Linked DNA regions of Macaca mulatta. The protein of the gene in region 2 interacts with the protein of the main gene of each other region in a pairwise test. Links are inferred from orthologs where the notes say so. Each region holds a gene or a part of one and is shown on either strand. Other genes may lie near its edges.

Evidence for each region.
Region 1: the proteins of PLSCR1 (region 2) and SLC35A2 interact in a two-hybrid assay, tested with the Homo sapiens proteins (2 studies listed by BioGRID and IntAct). The two-hybrid records come from large-scale screens. The link is inferred for Macaca mulatta from reciprocal best matches to the Homo sapiens genes PLSCR1 and SLC35A2.

The regions. Positions count from the first base shown.
Region 1 is NC_133426.1:48,982,810-48,993,281, forward strand, and holds the start of SLC35A2 (UDP-galactose translocator), read right to left. Parts: upstream 5,441-10,472; 5' UTR 5,118-5,440; coding exon 5,027-5,117; coding exon of another isoform or gene 5,019-5,026; intron 3,779-5,018; coding exon of another isoform or gene 3,694-3,778; intron 3,458-3,693; coding exon 3,275-3,457; intron 1-3,274. Other genes in the region: PIM2 (serine/threonine-protein kinase pim-2), read right to left, coding at 7,962-8,125, 8,224-8,400, 8,853-9,225. UniProt on the Homo sapiens protein: Transports uridine diphosphate galactose (UDP-galactose) from the cytosol into the Golgi apparatus, functioning as an antiporter that exchanges UDP-galactose for UMP.
Region 2 is NC_133407.1:49,496,587-49,505,889, forward strand, and holds the end of PLSCR1 (phospholipid scramblase 1), read right to left. Parts: intron 6,162-9,303; coding exon 6,000-6,161; intron 5,098-5,999; coding exon 5,041-5,097; 3' UTR 4,648-5,040; downstream 1-4,647. UniProt on the Homo sapiens protein: Catalyzes calcium-induced ATP-independent rapid bidirectional and non-specific movement of phospholipids (lipid scrambling or lipid flip-flop) between the inner and outer leaflet of the plasma membrane resulting in collapse of the phospholipid asymmetry which leads to phosphatidylserine externalization on the cell surface.

The sequences.
Region 1 (10,472 bases), on a different chromosome or scaffold from region 2:
TGTAAACAAAGGGCAAAGGTGCATAATTCATCTCCATCCCTTTACTTATGCAAGACCTCTTTAGAGAAACAATTGGGCAACACTTCAAAGTAGAAGACCTTCAGGGAGATGTTGAAATTAGTAGATAAACCCAACTCCCAATTTACAAGAGATAAAGAAGACAGAATATTTGTTAAATTTTTGAGAATATTTGCCTCAGGGAGGCAGCAAAATCTAGACTACCCAAAGCCTGCAAGACAAATGACCTGTTTTCTCCAACAAATTAATTGCAAAGACCAAAAAACCCCTAGAGATTAACAGATTTAGAATATAAAATACCAAACAAGGCCAGCCTGGCGGCTCACGCCTGTAATCCCAGCACTTTGGGAGACCGAGGTGGGCAGATCATGAGGTCAGGAGTTCGAGACCAGCCTGACCAACATGGTGAAACCCCATCTCTACTAAAATTACAAAAATTAGCCGGGCGTGGCGACATAAGCCTGTAATCCCAACTGCTCGAGAGGCTCAGGCAGGAGAGTCGCTTGAATCCAGGAGGCGGAGGTCAAAGTGAGCCGAGATCGTCCCACTGCACTTCAGCCTGGGCAACAAAGTGAGACTCTCTCTCAAAAAAAGAAGATACAAAACAATTACAAAACACTGACTATATACAAATGAAATTTTTTTTTTTTTTTTTTTTTTTTTGGAAATGGAGTCTCGCTCAGTCTCCCAGGCTGGAGTGCAGTGGCAATCTCGGCTCACTTCAAGCTCTGCCTCCTGGGCTCACACCATTCTCCTGCCTCAGCCTCCCAAGTAGTTAGGGACTACAGGCGCCTGCCACCACGCCTGGCTAATTTTTTTTGTATTTTTAGTAGAGACGGGGTTTCACCATGTTAATCAGGATGGTCTCAATCTCCTGACCTCGTGATCTGCCCACCTTGGCCTCCCAAAGTGCTGGGATTACAGGCGTGAGCCACCGTGCCCGGCCTTTACAAATGAATTTTTTAAAAGTTTTATGACATTTAATAAATTACAAATTTGAACATTAACTGGATATGTGATTATTTTTTATTTAAATTTTTAAAAGGGCCGGGTACAGTGGCTCATGCCTGTAATCCCAGCACTTTGGGCAGCCGAGGAGGGCGGATCATCTGAGGTCAGGAGTTCAAGACCCGCCTGGTCAACATGGCAAAAACCTGTCTCTATTAAAAATACAAAAATTAGCCAGGCGTCATGGCAGGCGCCTATAATCCCAGCTACTCAGGAGGCTGAGGCAGGACAATTGCTTGAACCCAGGAGGTTGCTGTGAGTTGAGATCGCACCACTGCACTCCAGCCTGGGCGACAGAGTGAGACTGTCTCAAAAGAAAAAAAAAAAAAAAAAAAAATCAAACAAAGATGTAAGCCTGGGCAACATGGCAAAACCCCGTCTCTCCAGAAAGTACAAAAATTAGCCAGGCATGGTGGCACGTGCCTGCGGTGCCATCTACTCAGGAGGATGAAGTGGGAAGATTGCTTGAACCCAGGAGCTCAAGGCTGCAGTGAGCCGAGATCACACCACTGCACTCCAGCATGGATGACAGAGTAAGACCCTGTCTCAAAAAAAAAAAAAAGATTGGGGGTACAACTGCAGTTTTGTTACATGGATATATTGCACACTGATGAAGTCTGCATTTTTAGTGTGCTCATCACCCAAACAGTACTGTACCCATTAGGCAGTTTCTCTCTCTTGACTCGCCTCCCACCTTTCCATGTCCCCAAGACCTATTATTACACTCTCTATGTCCATGTTATTTATTGAATTATTTTTTTGAGGCGGAGTCTTGCTCTGTTGCCCAAGCTGGAGTGCAGTCGTGCGATCTTAGCTTACTGCAACCTCCACTGCCCGTGTTCAAGTGATTCTCCTGCCTCAGTCTCCCAAGTAGCTAGGATTACAAGCAGGCACCACCATGCCCAGCTAAATTTTGTATTTTTAGTAGAGACGGGGTTTCGCCATGTTGGCCAGGCTGGTCTCGAACTCGCAACCTCAAGTGATCCACCCACTTCAGCCTCCCAAAGTGCTGGGATTACAGGCGTGAGCCACCATGCCTGGCCTATTTTTTTATTATTAATTTTTTCATGTATGATTCTTAGACAGAGTCTTGCTCTGTTGCCCAGGCTGGAGTGCAGTGACATGATCTCTGCTCACCACAACCTCCATTTCCCAGGTTCAAGCTATTCTTGTGCCTCAGCCTCCCAAGTAGCAGGGATTACAAGTACCCACCACCACTTCCAGCTAATTTTTGTATTTTTAGTAGAGGCAGGGTCTCACCATGTTGGCCAGGCTGGTCTCAAATTCTTGACCTCAAATGATCCACCCGCCTCAGCCTTCCAAAGTGCTGGGATTACAGGCGTGAGCCACCACGCCAGGCCAGTATTGTATTTATTTTATTTTTTTAAAAACAATGCACCAAAACATTTATTCAAGATAATATGGGGGAATTTACTTCCATACCATATTACTTTGTGTGGGATTTACTTAAAAATAATATAGGGCTCACGCCTGTAATCCCAGCACTTTGGGAGGCTGAGGTGGGTGGATCACAACGTCAGGAGTTCGAGACCAGCCTGATCAACATGGTGAAACCCGTCTGACCAACACGGTGAAACCCCGTCTCTACTAAAAATACAAAAAATTTGCCAGGCATAGTGGCAGGCGCCTGTAGTCCCAGCTACCGGGGAGGCTGAGGCAGGAGAATGGCGTGAACCCAGGAGGCGGAGCCTGCAGTGAGCCGAGATCGTTCCACTGCACTCCAGCCTGGGCGACTGAGCGAGACTCCGTCTCAAAACAAAACAAAACAAAACAAAACAAAAAATAATAATAAGGGGATAAGGATGTAGGTAGACATATAGATTGGCAGTGAGTGAACAATCACTGATATTGTTTAAAGCGGCCATGAGTTGCTAATTGCTAACTCTGGGGGATGGGTACATGGATATGTTACTATTTGATTAATCTCTCTGATTTTGCATGTATTCGGAATTCTCCATAATATAAAGCTAAAGATGACTAAATCACATGTGAGAGACCCCTGCTACTTTATAAGCATAGACAATCCCACTCCTACAGTTCACACAGGTCAGCTCCCTGGCTGTTAGGACTAGAAAAGTGTAAGATGCAGCTACACAAAGCTGGAGGGGCGCCCCAGGCAGGTTGAGATTTGGAGACACTCTTGAAGCAAACCGTCTGTGTGAACACACACACATACATGTGGAGTCCCACGCACCGACCCCGGTGCAGCCCCCTCCCTGGCTCGTACCCCTCTTCTGTGCGAAGAGCAGCAGCAGGCAGGTGAGACCTTTGAGCACTTCCGCCATGACCACAGCAGTGGTGGCAAAGAAGCGGTCCCCTGGCAACGTGCGGGCGTAGCGGATGCTGAGGATGAGGGAGGCATTCTGGACCACCAGCACAGCTAGGGATATGTACTTCAGGCGCCTGTGAGCTGTGGGGAACGGAAGGGGCAAGGGGGAAGGAGGGGGTCAGAAGCCGCTAGGGCATAGCCACACCACCACCCACCCCCTCTCCTTTCTCACCCAGGACCCTCCTAGCCACCGCTACTTGTTCCCTCAGCCTGCCTTCTTCACCCAATGAGGGTCTGACTCCTACCGCCTTACTGCCTCAGCCACAAGCAGGAAGAGCCAGAAGGGAGAAATGGGCCCCACCCTGTCCAGTCCATACCTGGAATCCTTACCGAGGTTTCAGGTAATGGCTGAGGCAAGCTCTGGCCACGCGCCTCGGCTCCCGCCCAAGTGAGAAGCAAATCCTCCCCAGACAGAATACCGACAACTATGTTCTCCACGTTTACTGAGTGTTTACTGTATGCATATCACTGGGTTAAGGGATTTCTATGGATTACCTCAATAGACTCATATCATTGTCATCTCCAAAAGAACTGCGAGGATTCCCATTTACGGATGAGCAAACTGAGAATGTATATGAAATGATGCTTCTATTTAACGAGGGACTGTCTCATGTAAAGAATAATACATCAATGCAGGGAATGAGGCCACTGTATGAGGTATGTTCACCCCCTAAGGAAAGGTCTTTCTCCCATCTAAGAAATGATTCGATTCCCTCACTCTCAGAATGGCCTACATCCCATATGGAATGATCCTCCTCATACCCAGAATGGTCTCTCCAACCCCTCCCTCCTGTGACAACTGGTTCCTCCCGACCCAGAATAGTCTACTAAATACAAGAAATGATTCCCCCATGCTCCCAGGGACTGAATCCTGTAACAGGAATGGTTATCCCACCAAGAAAGGTCTGGCTCCCTCAACCAGATGAGGAAATATTTCCCTGCACTCCACATGGTCCGTCCTCCCACCACCGCGCACCGACCCTCTAGCTAATGCTCTACCCACAATCACAATCTTTGCTCTACCCACAATCACAATCGGCTCTCTCTGCTATACGGAAGGACCTGGCACCCTCAGAACGTTCTTTTTCCACCATATAACGATGAGCCCTCCCACCCGAACGTACAATGAACTCTACCTCCATTAGGAAGGGGGCCCCCAGAACGGTTTCCTCCGCACATAATGAAGGACACCATCATCCTCAAAATGGACCCTCTCTAGTCACATAAAGAAGGACTCGCCCCACCCTAACTCACAATAGTCTCTCTGTCCTTTTATAAGGAAGGAAGCACCACCCTCAGAATAGTCTCCCACTTCTTCAGTGAAGAACTCCCACGCCCGCAGAATGGTCTCTTCCACAAGGAAGGACCCCACATATTCAGAATGGTTTCGGTGCCCTTAGCCTTCCCAAAAAGAATTACCCTCCACACTCATAATGGTCCATATGCGGAAGGATCCCACAAGCACTCTCAGAATGTTTTCTTCCCCGCCCCCAACACACTCACAATGTGCACACACAGACACACACAGACACACACACACACGTCGGTCCACACGGGATGCTCCCTCTCACTTTAGTGAGGAACATTCCCGACACCCAGCGATCCCGACCTCTGCCTCCCATGCGACTGCTCGGACACAGACTGTCTCACCCGCACTAGCAGTCCCCGGCTCTAATGCACCCGCGGAAAGCGCCCCTGGCCCGGCCGCCGCGGTGGAACCACCAGCCCCAACCGCTGCCATGTTGGCATTTGCCCGGCCCGTCCCCTCGGTAACAGCAGACCACTTCCGTGTTCGTCACTTCCGCTTCCAGGCCGCCTGAGTGAAGGTGGGTCGAGAGCCGGGATCGTCAGGGTGGTCGCTTTTCTCCTTCGCTCCTAAAAGCTCAACGTAAGAGTAGCCCCGGGATTTCCAAATTCCGTCGGATCTGGATGCCGGGGACACGGCCCGATCGGCCTACCCACCGCCCCTACAGAGCTTCATCGGCCCATTCCTGTCACTAGACCCGCCTTGTCCTGCTGTTCGTCCGCTTCACTGATCGCGTTTTCCAGATCACCCCCCGATCCCGTCTCCTAGTCTCATTGGCTAAGCCATCCCTCTTTCATCTCGGCTTTTTATTGGCAGCTTCTCCACAAGGCACCGCCCCTTCCGAATCAGAAACTCCCAGGTGCTTCCTGGTTGGACTGAAGTTCCGCTTTCCCGTCTTCCAGCGAGGCCCCACCCTCTGGAAAGCACAGGGGAATCTGGGGACCAAGAAACTTTGACCTGTGGGGTCGGGTGAGGGCGTACTGGCTGAAGCATCAGGTGCGAGTCAGGCATGTAATAGCAGATAAAAGCAGAGCAGGTGAGGATAAACAAGTGAAAATGAAAAGGAAAGTTGACGCAGAGAAGACAAGTGAGTCACCAATGAGGATGGCAAATAAAGGGGACAGGCGAAAGGCTCACAGTTAGCTAGCATTTGGAAGCAGGGCAAGAGTCCGGGCCAGGGGCGGTGGCTCACGCCTGTAATCCCAGCACTTTGGGAGGCTGAGCCGGGCCGATCACCTGAGCTCAGGAGTTCCAGCCTGGGCAAAATGGCAAAACCCCGTTTCTACTTAAAAAAAAAAAAAAAAAAAAAAAAATTAGCCGCATGTAGTGGTATGCACCTGTACCCAGCTACTCGGGAGGCTGAGACAGGAGAACCGCTTGAACCCGGGAGGCGGAGGTTGCACTGAACCGAGACAAATAAGCAGGGCAAGAGAGGTGACAGCCGAGGTCGGAGCATGTGAAACCAACATGGAATAGGGCAGGCCAGGTAAGTCAAGTGTTGAAGGAAAAATTAGAGGGATGGGTATGTAAGGGTAAAGATGGGGGAGAGGCTAAAGATTAAGAGCAAAACAGGGTGGATGCGGTGGCTCACGCCTGTAATCCCAGCACTTTGGGAGGCCGAGGCGGGCGGATCACAAGGTCAGGAAATCGAGACCATCCTGGTGAACACGGTGAAACCCCGTTTCTACTAAAATGCAAAAAATTAGCCGGGCGTGGTGGCGGACGCCTGTAGTCCCAGCTACTCGAGAGGCTGGGGCAGGAGAATGGTGTGAACCCAGGAGGCAGAGGTTGCAGTGAGCCGAGATCGCACCACTGCACACCAGCCTGGGAGACGGAGCAAGACTTTTGTCTCAAAAAAAAAAAAAAAAAAAAAAAAGCAAAACAGGTGACTACACCCTGGACAGATTCCAGTCAGTGCCCAACTCCAGCCCCGCCCTCATCAGTACCCTGATAGGGCTCTTCTCCAACAGGGAAAAGGGCTTCCTCCTTCCCCTGGGGTGCCAGGGAAGGTATTTTATCTGCTTCTGAGATGGCCATCTTGATTGGGGATGTACCCTAAACACCTTCCACCTTCATGCACAGTATCTCCAACAGACAGCCCTTCTACACATACTGGGCGCTGCTTAAGATCAGGGGCAGGGGGAATCAAGATTTTTTGTTTTTTGTTTTTTTTGTGGTGCAGTTTCAAGAACCCTTAAAGGTCTTTAGGATGGCAACATAAGACTGTGGCTTCCTGAGGACAAAGCAGAGGGACAGTCTATCTCAGTGCAAAGTAGATGCTCCATAAAAGCCTCACACCTACAAATGGCCAGCCGCTTCTGATTCTATTACTTTTATTAAATAGTGGGTTTCCACACATGGCTTTTTAAATAATCCAGGCAGGGGGAGAAGAGAGGAGGTCACACTTGGAACTCCCCTCCCCACAATACGTGATTATTTACATTTTAGCAACTGGACAATCCCGGCTCAGGAGGAGGTTGCAAGAATCTGCAAAAGTTGGAGGGGGGCGCCCCAGGAGAACAAACAGCAAGCCTCATTTCCCCTAGCCCATCCCCCAAAAAACCATCCATCCCATCCTAGTGTCTGGTGGTGTCCGGTGGTGTCCATCTTCCATTCCTTCCCAAATTATGGAAGTAAGGTTCTTCTCACCAGAATAAGAGCACTTGGGATAAGAGTAGGGTCCCCTCACCCAAAAAAAAAAAAAAAAAAAAAAAAAAGGAAAAAGAAAAAAGCCTTGGGTAACAGCAGGGCATTACCTCCCCCAGAATAAGGACTCCTGGGCTGAGGCAGGTAAGCAGCTTGACCCAATATGGGACCCTAGGCTAGGGGAAAGGGTCCCTTTACTAAAATAAAAGCAATTGGGGTATTGGAAGGAAAGCACCCTTGCCCAAGTAAGAGCATATGAACTAAGTTTGTGTGGTGGTAGTAGGAGGTGCCAATGTGGGGGTGACACGTCATCAGAATAAGAGTCCTGGGGCTCAGAATGGGAACAACTTCACTGAAATAAACTTCCTTAGCAAAATGAGAAGCAAGAACTTCCCCCTCCAGAATCAGGGACCACAGGTTCTGGGAGGAAGGCTCCTTTGTAGGATTGGGAAGGGAACTGGGCAGACTTGGTTTATGTCTTCTAACCCCTGATCCTCAATCCCTTACCTTAGTAATACTGGACTTTAATAACCGGTAATGACCTGTAAAACCAAGTCAACAAATGTCCGTCTATCCCTGTGACATGGCCATGGGATGGCTCTTCCGACCACTGGGGGCCAGACCAGGCCAGGCTTAGGGTAGCAAGGACCAGGCCAAAGGGGCGGGGCCTCCTTTGGGGGGGTTGAGGGGTGCATCCTCGGCTGGTGTTTGCATCCAGGGGTCTAGCAGGATCTCTTCCAGTGAGGGTCGGGAAGAAGGTTTGGGGGCCAGGCACCGGCGGATTAGGGCACAGCAGTCTGTGGGCCAAGAAGCAGAGGGAAGATTAGCAGTCAGTAGGGGGTACTGATCCCTGAGAGGGATGGAGTCTTCTGGGCTGGGGTCAGTGAGGCCTCACCTGGGGAGACATGAGCAGGGAAGTGGAGCTCAGCTTCCAGAATCTCCTGGTCCCTCTCGAAGGGAATGTCCCCACACACCATGTCATAGAGGAGGATACCCAGTGACCAGACAGTGGCTGGGAGTGCATGGTACTGGTGTCGAGAGATCCACTCTGGGGGACTGTACACCCTTGTCCCTGCACACAAGCCAGGGGTTAGACCACTCACTCTCATGATGCCCTTCTCCAACCCCAAACTCCCCAGGAAGGATGGCCTCACCACAATTAAGAGCACTCAAGATAAAAGCAGAGTCCCCTCACTAGATAAAGAGCAGCTAAAATAAATAGCAGAGTCCCCTCAACAGAATAAAAGCATTGAGAAGTAACAGGATCCCTTTACCAGAGAAAGGATACTGAGGATAGTAACAGGATACCCTCACCAGAATAGGAGCCCAGAATAAGGTTAGCGCACTGTTAAAAGATGGACTTTATCAGAGGGCAAGGCTGAGAATCCCCAGTATTAGCAATCGATCATCTTATACAGATGCAGTATGGGTCAAGGATTACAGGATACCCCACCACTGGAGGCCAAAGGTCACGAGTCCATCAAGTAAAAACAATCCCTCCAGGGAGATTTAGAGAAGCCTTACCATCAAAGTCAGTGTAGGGTTCATCATGGAGCAGGGCACCAGAACCAAAATCAATGAGTTTGGCACAGCCACGGCGTAGGTCTATCAGGATGTTCTCATCCTTGATGTCACGATGGACAACTCCACGGGCATGGCAATGCTGGATGGCTGCCACTACTTGACCAAAGAAGCAGCGGCTTGGGCCTTCACCCAGCGGGCCCTTCTCTGTGATATAGTCAAAGAGATCCTGGGCAGGCAAAGGCCGCTCGAGGACCAGCATGAAGCCCTCTTGTGTCTCAAACCAGTCAAGCAGGCGGATCACGCCAGGGTGCCCACCGCCTGCACCCACTTTCCATAGCAGTGCCACTTCGAGTGGGCATGTGACTGAGTCTGACTGGGGGAACAGGTAGGGTGGGAAGCAGAGAGAGAAAAAAGACAGATGTCAGGGCAACAGCTCTGAGGCTTTTTACCTAAGCTCAAATTAGGGTCCCTTCTCCTGACAGTGTGTTGTTGAGCAACTCACTTCCCTTCCTGGGCCTCAGTTTCCCTAAAGACACAAACTCACACAGTGATTGAGAGGGTGAAACCAGCAAAGAGCCTGCACAAGTCTTGCATGTAGTAGATCAATAAACATTTGAATAAACGAAAGTTTGGCCGGGCACAGAGGCTCATCCCTGTAATCCCAGCACTTTGGGAGGCTGATGTGGGTGGATTGCTTGACCCCAAGAGTTCAAGATCAGCCTGGGCAAAATGGCAAGACCCTGTCTCTACACAAACACAAAAATTAGCCAGGTTTGATGAAATGCACCTGTAGTCCCAGCTACTCGGGAGGCTGAGGTGGGAGGGTCCCTTGAGCCCAGAAGGGAAAGGTTGCAGTGAGCCAAGATCGCACCACTGCACTCCAGCTGTCTCAAAACCAACAAAAATAGAAAAAACTGGTTTTTAACAAAAGGCCTTCAGCAGAAGCAGCACCATTATGTGGTATTTTGTTTTGTTCCCTGACATATCCCAGGATATTAGAATAGTACCTTACACAGTAGGTGCTCAATAAATGTTAAACAGATGACAGCACTTGATAGCATGGGCTCTGACAAGCAGTTAGCACTCAATAAACACTGTTATTGTGTAATGGTTTGTTTTGTTCACGGACCTATATGAAGCACTAGAACAGTGGCTGCTAACAAAGTAGGGCTGAATAAATATTTGTCAAACAGGTAAAACAATTAGTAAAAAATGCCCTAGCAAAAAATGAGCTCTCAATAATTATGTAATACTTTGCTGAGTGTCTAGAGTTGTGTCTGTCATATAGTAGGTGTTCAATATACCTAATTTGTTAAACAGCTGACTGATTTATTGCAAAGGACCTAGTACAAAAGGACTTAGTGTTATCATGTATTTTGTCAGCATCACCAAGCACCTAGAACTAGTCAATAAAAAGCATAAACGTGGCCCTGCACAGTGGCTCACGCCTGTAATCCCAACACTTTGGGAGGCTGGGGCAGGCAGATCACCCGAGGTCGGGAGTTCGAGACCAGCCTGACCAACATGGAGAAACCCCGTCTCTACTAAAAATACAAAATTAGAGGCCGGGCGCGGTGGCTCAGCACTGTGGGAGGCCGAGGCAGGTGGATCACCTGAGGT
Region 2 (9,303 bases):
ACAGTATTCAGATATGAGGTCTTTAGGATGTGATTAAGTCATGAGGGCACCATTCTCACGAATTGGATCGGTGACATTTTAAAAGGGCTCGGTTGGGTCCCTGTTGACCTTCTGCCTTCCACCATGTGAGAATGCAGCAACAAAGTGCCATCTTGGAAGCAGAGAGCAGCCCTCACTACACACCAGAATCTGTTGGTGACTTGATCTTGGACTTCTCAGCTTCATGAACTATAATTAACAAATTTTAGTCATTTATAATTACACTGTCCCTGTCTAAGGTGTTTTGGTATAGAAGCCCGAGCGAACCGGGTAGTAAACTAAGATCTAATTAACTCTGTAAAGTCAATATAACTGAGAATTTCTCTAAGATATTTCCAGGTGGTTGCAGTCTATTGGCAATGTCTGATTAAAGCTGAAATTTTACCTAGCAACTAACTCCTTTGCTGAAATAAATAGGTCAATGTTTGTTCCCTATCACTGCCAGACAGAATAACCTCAATGTGTTAATGATGGAAAACTCCCAGAATCCACAGGTAGAAACAAATTGTCCTTAGTAGGCAAGCAGATCAATTTTGCAAATCTAGTCAGAATTCAATGTGGGTAAATTTATAATCTGCATTTTGGCATAAATCTGATATTTCCTACCGTATAAACATTAACAGTAGATTAACGTTAACTTGAATGCTTGATGTGTGTGTCTATGTGTCGGGGGTTGTTAAGTGCAGAGCTCTGTGACCAGCTGTACTTATTGCTTATCATTCTATGGCCCTCTCAGTTTGTAAATCATGAGTTCAAACCCTGTATTGTCAGTTGTTTCATCTGGTTTCTGGGACCCAGATTATTGTTCCTCTCTCTCTCTTTTATTTTCTTGAGAAGCAGTTTCACTCTTGTCACCTAGGCTGGAGTGCAATGGCGTGATCTCGGCTCATTGCAACCTCTGCCTCCCAGGTTCAACCAATTCTCCTGCCTCATCCTCCCCAGTAGCTGGGATTACAGGCGCCCGCCACCATTCCCAGCTCATTTTTGTATTTTTAATAGAGACGGGGTTTCACCATTTTGGCCAGGCTGGTCTTGAACTCCTGACCTCTGACCTCAGGTGATCCACCTGTCTTGGCCTCCCAGAGTGCTGGGTTACAGGAAAGAGTCACTGAGCCCAGCTTCTGTCCCTCTCTTAAAATGGCTTGCCACATTTTGACACTATAAGGCTAAGAAAAAAAAAAAAAAAGGACTCTAACGCAGAAGCCAGAGACTGTGTTCTCCCCATGCCTTAATTTCCTTTAATCTACACTTCTGTGAGATGAACATCATTCCCTAGCTTGGCATCTTGCATAGACATCTTTTTTTTTTTTTTTTTTTTGAGGAGATAGTATTCTTCCTAGGGTTTAAATGAATTTTATTTGCTATTCAAATCATAACACAGAAATTTAATTTAGCCCAAATCTTCCTCATTGGCTTTGAGACACTTCCCGGTGTTTCGAAACCCATTGATTTTTATCAACACATAGCCCTTTTCATTTTTTACACTGGTTCTACTGCAGGAACCTGCTCAGGTCTCTGAACCTGCATTAAAATACTGAATCTTCACACTGACCTTATAAGGTAGATAACATAATCAATTGACAACGATACTATTGACTATTGAGGGAAATGAAGGCATAAGGAGGAGCACAGAGCTTGAAGAGACAGTGCCAGGTGCAGGAACGTGGTCCTAGGAAACTCAGGCAGTGTATGCTGGGCTAGGGACAGGAAAGGAGAGAGGCAGCATATGGAGGGAAACCCTGTACACTTATCTGGCACTTTAAGCACTCGGAGCACTTCATTGTGCCCAGAGACATTTTAAATCATTCCATTCTTACTGATGGCAGGGATTCTCTACAGAGTCTTTTCTAGTTACCCTAAAGTTACAGTCGCTCTTTTAGCCCAAATGCAGTTAAAGCTTTAGTACTTATGCCTAGAGTAGCTAGCTAACTTGATGCTGGGAGCCCAGACACCGATTTTCTGGCAACTTAATTGCCTGTGGCTGGTGCTTTTTGTTTTTTCCTCTCCCAGCCTTGTCTCTGCTTTCACTTACACGCCCCTCACTCTTCAACCCTCCCCCAAGAGGTACATAGGAGAGGTACTGACATCCCTTAAATCTTGTCTTCCTCCTCCCTCCCCATTCTCCCCATTCCTCACTGACCACCTACCTAGAACTTTCTTCCCAAGACCAAAAATACAGCTCCATGCTTATCCATTGCAGCTTTTCCTCCTCAACATTTTCCCTAGTCAGGCACACGCAGTGACTTTCCATTCACTGTTATAACTCACATAGCAGAAATAAAAAAATATGCAACATTTCCTCAAATCTCATTAAGATTACAGTTAAACTTTGAAAAACAATTCCTGGTATTTTCTTAATTATATATCGATTTTTTCATGTGTGATTATTTTTCTCTATGTAATTATGCAATGATAAGATATTTGTCTAGTATAGGTTCTGCAGAAAATATGTGGGGTTTTGCTCAGATCTTCTTTGCAGAGTTGAAGAAAAAAAATGTTTAGATCAGTTTAGCTTTATTTTACTTAACCAAAGATTCAGAATCCTGTTTAGAGAGAGACAAATAATGAAAGTAAGATGTAGCTGTCACAGAGATAATGTCAGTACTCTAAGCCTTATTTTGGGTCAGTTTTGACACATTAGGGCCAGTTTGGAAATCCTATTTCCACTCTCTTCTGTAACTGGCGTAACAATGCCATTGGGATTCAGCTATGCAAGTACCTCCACTTTTCTTGACATGCTATCTCTACCAAGCACACGCTCTGAGTGAGTTCCATGGGTACACTTCATCACTGGAATGTGGCATCTGGCGATTTGTTTAGGCTTGTGGGAAATCATCTAGACTTGGCTTTTCTTGAAGATCTCCTGCATACTAATGTTCTCACCACTTGCCATTTGGAGCTATTGAGGTCTAGGGCACTAACACCATGAGGAGAGCTGCTGTTATAAGAATTGTGCTGACTATGAAAGAGAGACTCTTCCACATGCCCTTATTGCTTAAGCACACTTTTCCATTGCGTGAGGAATATTGTGGGTTGTTCATGTCATCTTTCAACTCAATCTTCATTACAAAAGAGATTACTAAATTCTTACCAGCTTCTGACAGGTGGAAAACCTAGTTTCCAACTCTGGTACAGATTTTACTACAAAGTGTCATGTACTTGCTCCTTTTTAAAGGAGATTTGAAAGGAAAAGGCAGTTAAACATGATGGGGACAGGAGGCAGAGAAATTCTAGGCAGAAAAGGGTGAGTCCCCAGTGAAAACTCTACCTCCAAGCTGAAATGCCTGAAACCCTGGCCCAAAGTGAGAATTTATATCCATGTTTTTCTCCTTGAATGTTGCCTTTTCCTAAACTGCCCATGGCTCTCCCTGCCCGCAATCCTGTGCCTACAAAGACCCCAGACTCAGTCAGAGAGGAGTGGAGACTATGGCTGGACATTGGAGAGAAGCAGCTTGACTTCAGAGGGATAGCTTGACAGTGTAACTTCAGAGAAGAATCCAGCTGGAGATGGCTAGACTTCAGGGGAAGATCACCTACCCCACTGTCCCCTTTTCAGCTCCCTTTTCCACTGAGAGTCACTTTCCTCAGCAATAAAATCCCCGCATTTACCATCCTTCAGTTGTTTTTGTGACCACATTTTTCCTGGACGCCGGACAAGAGCCTGGGAGCCATGAGTGCAGATATAAAAGGCACTAACACTCGCCCTTTGCCCTTGCTGGTGGAGGGCAGCTGTCCCACGTGACAAGACAAAGGGCTCACGGAGCTGTTAACACTTAAGCTGTCCACAGACTGCAGAGGTAAAAGAGCACCGTAACACACCTTCTGGGGCTTCAGGAATCGCAGGCAACCACACCTGGTTGCTACCACAGGGCGTGCACGGAGTTTGCTCTTGCCCGTGCCAAAGCGGTCAGCCAGTTCCAGTGCTTGTGCACTCCAGTTCCTGCCTTGTTTGCCTGCGCACTCCCTCCCAGGAGGAGTTGAGAGTGGCAGGCTGAGTAAACAAGACACCCCTTCTCGAGTCCCAGGAAGGGGTCAGGGAAATATCCTGCTTCAAATGTACCATCATTTAACTGAATGAGTGTTCAAAATACCATCTGAACACATTTTGTTTAAAAACAAAAGTCAAATATACAAAAAAATCAAGTTTTTATTTCAAATATTTGAATCTAATAGATCATTATTTAGGTTTATTTTCTGTGAATATATATATATAATATTATATTTAATTAACATCTGAAAATTACCATTTTCTAGAAAGGATAGAGTATAAAAGCTATACATTTCATATATAAATATTAACTTTCAAAATTTATAATAGTACGAGTTTTAGAGTGAAGGAGTGTTTAAAATGTGCCTTTCTTTGGACAAGAATCATTTTGTTCTTTATTTTGTTCTTTATTTAACAATAATTTAAAAACTGGTAATTTAATATCTTGTGAACATGAATGTATCATTTATGGTACAGCTTAGCTTCTAGGAGAAGTTAAGTGTAGCATGATTTCTTGAAGATTAAAAAAATACATTTAACTTTTTAAAGATAATATACATATTGAATATTATTTGAACATAACAGTAAAGAAAATTATCTTTGAACTTTTTTGAATATATGGCATTTGCAAAATAACATTAGCTATTATGCATGAAATAAATTGTAACTAGATTTAAAATATAATTTATATAAAAATTAATAAGGCCTTAGTTAATATTCGGTAGTAAAATGGACAGTGGATCAGAGATCATAATTCAAAGCAGTTTTTTATAGGAAGTTTCATTAATAAATGCAAAAACTCAGATGCCCTTTTTCTCAAATTCACAATGAGTATTAAAAAATGTACAAAAACCTTTATAAATCAGTTATACAGAAGATAAACTATAATTTGAAAAGCAAAAGTATACAACCAGAGCTACAGGCATTACAGCTTAATTCACACAGGTATGAGTTTAGATAGTCTCAATCAATTTACGGACTTCAGATTTCCTGAGGAGACTTTCACTAATCCACTACCACACTCCTGATTTTTGTTCCTGGCTGCCAGTGCTTTCAAAAAACATGAAATCCTAGATAAAAACAAAAATATACAAATGAATTTTCAGCAACAAAACAGAGATCAATGATCAGATGCAGAAATACTAAGGGATCTAGTGAAACACAGTAACATATCTGTTAAAAAAATTAAATGTAATAAACACAGAAAAGCTCTATAGTTATATAAGTTCTACCTTTAGCTTTCCATTTTAATAATAAATTTTATAATTCTATTCATGTATTGATACCTGTATGAATTTAATTAATCTTCCGGTCATTTTCTCTAAATGTGACTTTTTCTCTATCCCCATAATTCTCATCTGTGGCTGCATATTGGAACCACCTGGAGCACTATATGAACTTCGAAGTTTGACTCAGTTGAACTGAGGTATGGACTAGTACTTACAGTTTTTAAAGGTCCCTAAGTGATTCTAATGTGAAGACAATTTCAGAATCACTGGTATATCCGATTATCTCCTGTAATTCGGTAGTTAGGTCTACACACTTGAGTGAATGCACACTCTTACTGTAGTTCATACTCCCATATTAGATGGTTTAATTTAATTACTATGAGTCATGGTCAAGTTTCCTTGTTTCACTAAATTTTTTCCACATATGCCCGCTTTCAATTTCTTCAAAGCATGTAGGAGATGGCTGATTTAAGGGGAGACTAAAATCTCTCCTCAGTACGCCTCCTTAGTCCCTCTCTTGCCATGTGAATATTCATAGACTCTTCAGACAGAAACTAGTCACCCCAGAGTGTCAGGATCAAATAGAATTTCAGAGCTAGGATTAAATGGGAATCCTGATTTAAAAATCTATAAATTTTAAAAAGTCATTTTGAATTATACACTTTACTGAATCATTTCAGAATGATTAGTAGAAAGCATATAGAGAAAACATCTATAATCAAGATTAATAAGAACAGACTTACAATGAGGAAACAGGCACCAATCATTACAGCTTTCATTTTAACATCAAGGTCTAAAGGGAACTGGATTCCAAAGTTATCAGCATCTGTAAATGCCTCTCTCAAAATTCCAGTCCAGTGCTTGGAAATTTTGCCAACCACACACTGTTCATCAAGAGATTTAATCTAAATTGAAAAAAAAGTATTACATATTTTTAGGAAACTTATAGCAAAAGTACTTTCAAATTTGAAGATGAAACAAATATGGTATTAAAATTATGTACCATATGTAACCATGAACATGTAACCCTCATTGGATAACTAGAGGCTCCGGTATCTATTTATAGATATATGAAAAAAACTGTTTCATTATATAGATAAATTATATGAAAGTAGTTTTTCTGAAATATTTAACAATTTCTATTTCATATTAATAGACATTAATAAATTATTTGAATTGACCCAAAATAAAATTTAGGCAAAAAAAGATATAAATATGAAATGTTTATGTGATGACATTTCTAGAAGCCATCAGGAAGGTAATGAACAAAATTCCTATTAGACTTCTGCTTTAGGAGAAGCACAGTTTACACAGACCGAAAGGTTAAATATGATGAAAAGGCTTATTACCACCCACTGTGAGTTACCAAACATGAAATGCTAAGCGCCTAGAAAAGATTAGCAGTTTGGAGTAAAGGCAAATACCAGTAAGTAACTTGATGAAATGCCTCACGACAAGGGCTGAAGTAACAGTGGGTAACTAGTGGGGTGTGAATAATAAAAGACGAAGAGTGTATAAACAAATGAGCTCCAAAGTAGCAATTTTCTAATTTCACAATTCTGCCTGAGGAAAGCCCAGGGCCATCATATAGGGTTGAATGGACTGTGCTCAGACTAAGGCAACTCCTCTAGGAGGGCAGGTGGGGACTGAATGTAGCTGAAATTCACAAAACTAGGCGCATCTATAGTTGTGTTTAACAGAGGAGTGTCCTTTTCAGCTAAATATATGTGGGGAATCTAAAAACACTTGACTCACTTTATTTTAGTACAAGTGGAGAGTTTGTAAAATACCAGAAATAAACATCTAATATGAAACTGATAGCATAATACTGTTCATCAAATATTCATTTCATTCCCTCTCCTTCTGTATGGCCAGTATACTTCCTGTTCCTTCATAATTAGGCTTGGCCATGTTACTTGTTTGAACAATGGATGTTAGCAGATATGACATGAGTAGTGTCCTTAAACTGGGCTAAGTGCTTTGGCCTGGCTTATGATCTTCAGTGACAAGCCACTAGAAAAGCATGACTCAGGTAGCTGCTGCTGCTACAGCCACAGAACAAACATACCTGGAGCAGACTGAGGTTAACATGCAGCCCAAATCACTACTTAAATACATCCACTGAAATACAGTTGACCTGCACACCCCTAAGCATGAGCATAAACGCTTGTTGCAAGCGGCTGAGTTTTAGGGATTATGTGTAATGAAATACTACTGTGGAAAAATAAATGAATACAAATCCTTTCTTGTACGTGTTAGTATTTTTCTGCTAATAGCTGTCATTGAAGCATTTGAAGCTAGTAATGAAAACTCTGGTTTATTTTTTAATTCTGAAATTTAAAAAAAATGAAAAATGCAGCTGACAACTTACTAGCCACTGTAAACCTAACACTATACAAAGATATTAACATTTGCCCTTTTTGATTACTACAGCAAGAAATTTAAAGAAGTAGAGAATACATTTTTTTATGGCAAGGATAAGAAATGCAAATAATGATCTTCAACCAATAAATTATCAGGACTAGATAATTTTTAGCTAAATTGTAGACATTTTGGAATAGAAAATTACTGTAATAAAATTTCAACATTTGGAAATAATAAATTGGTATTGTATAATGTTAAACTTTTAAATCCATAAACGTAATACTAATTGGTAAATCATTCTAAAAAGAAAACCATAGATTCATCTCACAATGCAAATATAAATGCAAAATACTGAAATATAACGACAGTATATAGGATCTAGTTATGTAGCAAAGAAATATAAGTGTATCGTGAGTATATTAATAGTTGCTGGTAAGCTATTTTATTTACTTGCTAATTATTTATTTATTTACTGTTATTACACCCAATTTTCATGTAAAAAAACTAAAGCAAAGAGAAGTGAAAGAATTTGTTGAAAGTCACACAGGTAAGTGTTATGAAGATGGGTTTCAAACCTGGGTATCTGGCTCCAGTGTCTATACTCTTGACCATTATGATTGCCTGCTTTTTAAAAACATATTTATTGAATACTAATGAAAATCTAGTTGAGAGGGCAGGAAAAAAAATCTGTGGGCTGTAGTTGACCATATAGAATTTATTACCACTCAGGATCAATTTCTGTATTTTGAGATTCCTGAAACACAACAGTGGCAGGAATTCAAGCTCATAGACAGAAGTGACTTGGTATGTCAGTTTCGTGTGGCCATATTTTTCCCCTACCAAGAGTCCTTGAAGGAGACAGACTCTCTTATTATCTATATTGGATAAAAGGTCTACTAGGCTCTCTCTTACTCACCATTGAGATAACCTTCTTAGAGATTCAATTACTATCTGTTTGCTGAAAACTCTCCATTCTTTTCCTCTACATAACTAAAATCCAACATGACTGTAATTCAAGTCATTAACTTCCCATATATATTTTATATAATCAACTAGAGCCCATTGATTACATTTTGCTGGTCCCTGACCTAGATGTGTATTAGTATTTGATACCTTACTTTTTAAAAAGCAGACTATCATAATGGTCAAGAGGACACAAATCAAGTGTTTTTCCTCCAAGATTCTTAACTTGGCCAATGTAATATCAGAATAATAACACATCAAGTTTATCTCCAAAATTTTTTTCATCCTCAGTTGACATCAAATCCATGAATTAGTTCCACATAGTACACCGATAAAATGCCTCTTGAGTTATTCTCTGTTTTAGAATGACTCCTGCCCCTGCTGTGGAACAGGATTTTATCTCTTTTATTACTTCAAGTTTCCATGCCCAGTGGCACCCTGGTGGATTTCCTGTTCCTTAGTGGTCCCTCATACCAATAATTTCTGCTTTGAGGTGTCACAGTTTCCATTGTCAACCCTACGGAAAATTCTTCAAGTGACTATTTCTCAATTCTTTCCATGAGAGTACCTTGATATCATCATTCTGGATAAATAGAAGAAAAGTTAATTTATTACATGGAATGGATGCTTCAAGGTATCCATCAAGGAAGGCTGCTACATGAAACATAAATTCTTTAGTATCAAATATAAGGATTACACAATGCTTTTCCAGTGTTTACA